Linked DNA regions of Saccharomyces cerevisiae S288C. Changing the gene in region 1 together with any one later gene gives a genetic interaction. Each region holds a gene or a part of one and is shown in the gene's direction. Other genes may lie near its edges.

Region 1 (2,705 bases):
TTGAAAGCAGTTCCAAAGCTTAAATCCTCGAAGAGTACTGCTTGCATGAGGTTTACGCAACAGGTCTAGTCAGTTTTAACTCCTCGGATATCTCTCGAGATATTTTGCTATAGTGAGCGATAGGGTAGCAAATTTTTGGACCCTTAACCCCTTATACAAATTACCACCATATGTCCTTTTCTGCAGCGAAAACCTCGGTGTTGTCAGAAACAATTTAAGAAAAGCACAGGCGAAATTGGGCTTGCACTGGGTGATCAACAATGCCAGAAATATATGAGAAGCTTTTTACTCTTGCTTTTGCTTCTTCCTCTTTTTGTTCAAGCCAGCCAAGCTATGTTATAGTGTTGAATGTCTTGAACCGTTATAGTTTCTAAATATAACTTTACATTTTGTTATGCAATCTTCATCATCTCGAACTTTTCAACAAACGTTCAACAGTGATGGTCTTCCCCAGTGAACCAAAAGACATATGACGCTCGTATGGTATGTTAAAAACAACATAGAGGATAGTAGGTCGGGGTTTATTGTAGAAAGGACATAAATAGTTGACGTGGTAAATTTTCATCAACTAAAGCCACATCTATTTTGCCAAGTAGGAGATAATATAATATGTAGAGGGATCGAGATTTACTGAAGCCTCACGTGAGGGCAATCTGGAATCAGATTGCACTGGTTTGCACCATACCTCTCAAAGAAGAAAACGTACTACTTTTTTAGTTGAGTATGAATAGGGTAGTGTTTCCTAAAGTTATAAGGTAAAAGGGGCAGAGGAAAAGTCGATAATAATTTGAAAGAAACTTGCTTCCATATTCACAAAAGAGCTGGATACTTCATGTCATCTGCACATATATCTACAAAAATTTCAGCTTTTTGAGGTTGATACTAAGTCTTTCGCTACCAAAATGAAAGAAATCAATTTGGAGAGACTTAGGCTGAATATTTCCGCGTTCTCTCTGGGAATGAAAGATTTCTTACTGCAAAGAGTTTCAGTATTTACGAATTGGTTACAATTTTTTTTTTTTATCATACACGATTCTTTGAACATCAACTTCTCTCAAAACCATCCGCCTTCAGCGGCTACAATTACGTAATTGCACCAAGGCATTCGCGGAGAATTCACAAATTTGCAGACGCCAACAGTATACGACTCCCAACACACGTTTAATGTTGTACGAATTCAAGAGATAGAAATATTTCTTGCATGGAAGCCGTTTAGAACAGACTGAGTATGGGCTTTAACAATAAGCTTCTGTACGAGGGTCCAAATCTAAAATTCGGATATTCTTTTTGACCGAAAAAGGAAATGTCACAGGCACAGAAAAGGGTTTTATAAGGCACCTCGGCACCCTATAATTGGCATTCCCACATTCTGCGCATACGAATACACATGAGTGCCATAATACAATACTCCACATACGAAGTCTATGAAAGATGTATGATTCGTTCAGAAACAAGAGCATCTCCATAGTGATAATGAGATTGTGTGAAAGATGAGATATGGAGGATATGTGAGGTGCTAAATGAGCATCTGTTAACGAATCGTTTAAGTAGTGATGACTGATAGAGGAACGGGTATAAATAGAGCTGCTTCAACTGTATGCTTTTGAGAATATATCTTTATTTCTTTCTTTCCTGTTAAGCTTATACCAGCACTAAAAAACAAAACAAATACAATGGTCAAATTAACTTCAATCGCCGCTGGTGTCGCTGCCATCGCTGCTACTGCTTCCGCAACCACCACTCTAGCTCAGTCTGACGAAAGAGTCAATTTGGTTGAATTAGGTGTCTACGTCTCTGATATCAGAGCTCACTTGGCTCAATACTACATGTTCCAAGCCGCCCACCCAACGGAAACCTACCCAGTTGAAGTTGCTGAAGCCGTTTTCAACTACGGTGACTTCACCACCATGTTGACTGGTATTGCCCCAGACCAAGTGACCAGAATGATCACCGGTGTTCCATGGTACTCCAGCAGATTAAAGCCAGCCATCTCCAGTGCTCTATCCAAGGACGGTATCTACACTATCGCAAACTAGAGACAAACGCCTTTACGAACGAAATTCTATAGACATTGGTAAGTAACGAAAAATAAAATATAGAAATAAAAAGCTCTTTTTGATGATATAAATACAAATTGTAGATAAGTGTAATATAAATAAAAGATCTGACCATATATTTAAGCCGGAAAAAAATCCCAACACCAAAATAAAATGTAGAATAGATGAATAAATAAAATTTTCAATTATAAAAATAGAAAATAAGTTAAATTTGACGGCTCCATTTCTATTAAAATTGAAAGTATATGTGAAAAAAAATCATGCTAGGGATGTCTCTCACAATTCAAAAATCTAGGAAATAAATTTAATTATTTGATATAACATTATAAATCGTCAACAGAAGCTTTTTCCTAAGTCTTAGTAGTCAATGCTTTCAATATTTGCGCATCTTCTTTCATTGATTTAAAGAAAGATTGAAAATGTCTGGCTTTATAACTTTAACATCAAATATAATGATATCGTAGTAAGGTTAACCTTTTTTTTCCAATATTTCATAACATAATCGCAGATGGCCTTTACCACAATTGTATCAATAACCACAAGCTGTCTCTTCGCATTGAGCACCATCTTTGTTGTCATTACAGAAGCCATCAACCCCCCATATGTGTTAAAATATAATTCACCGTGGACAGCATTTTCATCTCCAAT
Region 2 (3,249 bases), on another chromosome or scaffold:
TAAAGTCCGAAAATTGCACCTGCTCTTATCATTCATTCTTATACAAAAGTGACTAGATATGATGGCGGATCCCGCAGCCCCAATCACTGGCAAAGAGCCTGAATACCGATAGGTACACTAAGCGTAAAGACCCTACCGTATTCTGGTTGCTATCACCACCCCACTTCCATCACGTCCATACCAGGTGCGTAAGCTTAATCACTCTTTGCTCCCCTGGTCTGCCCTTCCTATTCCGGATTTATCGGCTCGTTCCCCGCGCCCACTGGGGTAAACCGGCTTGATGGCCCGACCTCGGCGGCTAGCCACCGCACCCAGACCACGGTCTTCTCCAGAATGCCCACGACGTAGTAGCGTGGTTCCGTCACCACTATTGGGCTGACACAACACCTGTGCTCAATGCTCAGCAATATATCCTCTATACTACTACTGTCCGCGGGTGCTTTCAGAAGTGTTTGCCATCGGTCGATAAGCTCTTTGTCCTGACGCAGCGATTCGACTGCCCCCGTAAAGTCTCGTTCGTGATCCCGTAGGCAATCGCAGAAAATCTCTTTCCGCTGTTCCAAGTCGAACGTCTTATAATAAAACAGCAGTTGGGAAACGAATTTGTCTTGGTCGCGCTTCGACGGTATATACTCCTTGATTTTGTAGGCCTTGTATAACGCTTTTTGTTGTTTCCTTATATCTTGTGGGATGGTGTCGGGTGCGATTGTTCCCGCATTAGCAACAATTTGTGCCAGATAATGGTATTTTGTTGGTTCTAGTACTTCGCTATCGTCTTCGCTATTATCTTCGCTATCGCTTTCTTCAGCGGTGGCATTGCCACTGCGCTCGCCGCACCATTCTTCGAAAAGACTTTCACGAACTGTGTCATCTCTGATCTTGTAAAAATCAGGATCGTTTTCGATTTTCTTGCTTTGCAGCGACCACGTGGAAAACTTGTCTAGTTTATACCTATCGAATAATTCGAAGAAGATATTACGCTCGTCAATGTCATCTGTATCAATACGATTCAGATCATCGATAATGCTGATATCTTGATTTACAATTTGTTCTTCATTCTCTTCGTCTTCCTCTTCGTCTTCCTCTTCGTCTTCCTCCCCCGAAGATGAACCATACCCGCTGACTAGCCCAGTGTGGCTTTCCTGTAAAGGGGATTTTACGTCACCCGCCTCTTCGCTGATCTCATCTTTTCTCTCAACTTCGTCTTGATTTCTTTTAAATAGATGAATCTCTTCGTTGCAAGATTCGAGGATTTTATCAATGTCCTCCTCCCGCATAGTGTAACCTCTGGCAACGCCAATCAGAAGAACCAGTTTTTCCTTATCTAACGACTCGATTAATGAGCGACACCTGCTGTCGTCCTCTTGACTGATGTCATTTTTGAACTCCTTAGAGTCATCATTAAAGTAAAGTTTTGTACCATCGTTGTATATTATTAAGTGCCAACCATTAACCAGTTCTAATGAAAATGTTGGCTTCCTCTCTGTCTGTGATTCTTTCGCATTGCTTTCTAGGTTAGAGCCTTTCTTCAAATTAGGTTTTTCCCATCGAGACTGCTTCGTGTTCTTATTATAGTAATACTTTTTGCCTGCAGGTGTCTTAAATTCCTGCCATTCTCCACGCATGGCGATTCTGTGTTACTGAACTGTCTTTCTCTTTATAATACATATCAGAATCTCTTTCGGACACTATTTCCTCTTTCTTCAATTATATTGTTTTCTCTTTCATTGCCGAAGAAAAAAAGAAACATACTGAAAGTTGATAAATATGCAATAATAAAACCTTTTCCTACTCTTGACGCTTCTGTATAAGATAAAAACTGCCAACAAGATCAGTTCCAACTTCCTGCCGTATTATGAGGTATGTTATTCATTACCAAGACTATATCCGCCACGGCTGGATGCAGGCATCGCTCCCTGTGGCTTAAGAAAATAATAGGCACAAAACTAACAATAAAAACATCCACTACTCTGTCGCATGTTCCCTGTGCTCAGATCATTCGTAACAAATAACGATATACCTGTTGGATATGTAACGCCAAAATTCCCCTCATTATACTGGCCCATCAACAACTCGAAGTATAATACTGCATTCTTATACTATATATCTGACATTTGGAAATTTTCGCTGTACTGGACTTTGATCTTTAATGGTGCATTTTACGTTACTGCTGGTGTGTATGCTAGCTTGACCCATAGAAAGAAGGCTGGAAGTGTATGGATATTCGTCATGTACGTCTTATACGGAGGCGTTCAAGGCTTGACGACTGGTACAGTTATGGGGTTTTTAATAGGTGCGATCTATAGATCTGGTTTATTTTCTATGTCTACATGGGTCCCACTTTGTTGCGCAGTAGTCCAAATCCTTTTCGATGTGGTGCTAAGTTATTCCATGGTTGGTTCCGTTATGTGAAAGCTTCTGTCAAGAAAAAACAAGAAGGGGTTTACTGATTTGATGATAAAAGTTAGCAGCAACTTTTGAATGAGAATGTGCCATCCTTCACGTAAAGAGCCTAATACTCTTTCTTCAAAGCGCTAGATTGTTCTAAACGTTTCTTTAACTATTGTTTTCGTTCGTGCAGCGTGATTAACCGAGCCTCCTTCGAGGCGGGGATGGATATTGTAAGCTGCATATATAGTCGAACCTCAAATCGGTTGAGACAATAGGCAAAGTGCCCACATTGGCGCAAACACAAGAACATTAGGAAAGAAGGCAATCTGATATTTCAAAAATGTCTGCTTCATTGATTAATCGTTCCTTAACAAACATTAGGACAGAACTGGATTTTCTAAAAGGGTCAAATGTCATTTCAAATGACGTTTACGATCAAATAAATAAGAGCTTGCCGGCAAAATGGGATCCTGCCAATGCACCCCGCAACGCCAGTCCAGCTTCCTTGGAATATGTCGAAGCTCTTTATCAATTTGATCCTCAACAAGATGGTGATTTGGGCTTAAAACCAGGTGACAAGGTCCAACTTTTAGAAAAATTATCTCCAGAGTGGTACAAGGGTAGCTGTAATGGCCGTACCGGTATTTTCCCAGCAAACTATGTCAAGCCAGCTTTCTCTGGGTCTAACGGTCCATCCAATCTTCCACCACCTCCACAGTATAAAGCTCAAGAATTACAACAAATCCCCACGCAAAATAGTGCCGCATCATCTTATCAACAGCAGCCATTTCCTCCACCTTCCACAAATTATTATCAGCAGCCTCAACAACAGCCGCAACAAGCTCCTCCTCCCCAACA

The links.
Region 2: mutations in PAU11 (region 1) and MAY24 together harm fitness more than expected from each alone (negative genetic interaction), as found in Saccharomyces cerevisiae (2 studies listed by BioGRID).

What each region holds. Positions count from the first base shown.
Region 1 is NC_001139.9:5,621-8,325, reverse strand, and holds PAU11 (seripauperin PAU11), read left to right. Parts: upstream 1-1,673; coding exon 1,674-2,036; downstream 2,037-2,705. Other genes in the region: YGL260W (uncharacterized protein), read right to left, coding at 1,236-1,466; YGL262W (uncharacterized protein), read right to left, coding at 2,487-2,705.
Region 2 is NC_001148.4:831,834-835,082, forward strand, and holds MAY24 (May24p), read left to right. Parts: upstream 1-1,855; coding exon 1,856-1,860; intron 1,861-1,994; coding exon 1,995-2,412; downstream 2,413-3,249. Other genes in the region: URN1 (Urn1p), read right to left, coding at 228-1,625; PIN3 (Pin3p), read left to right, coding at 2,732-3,249.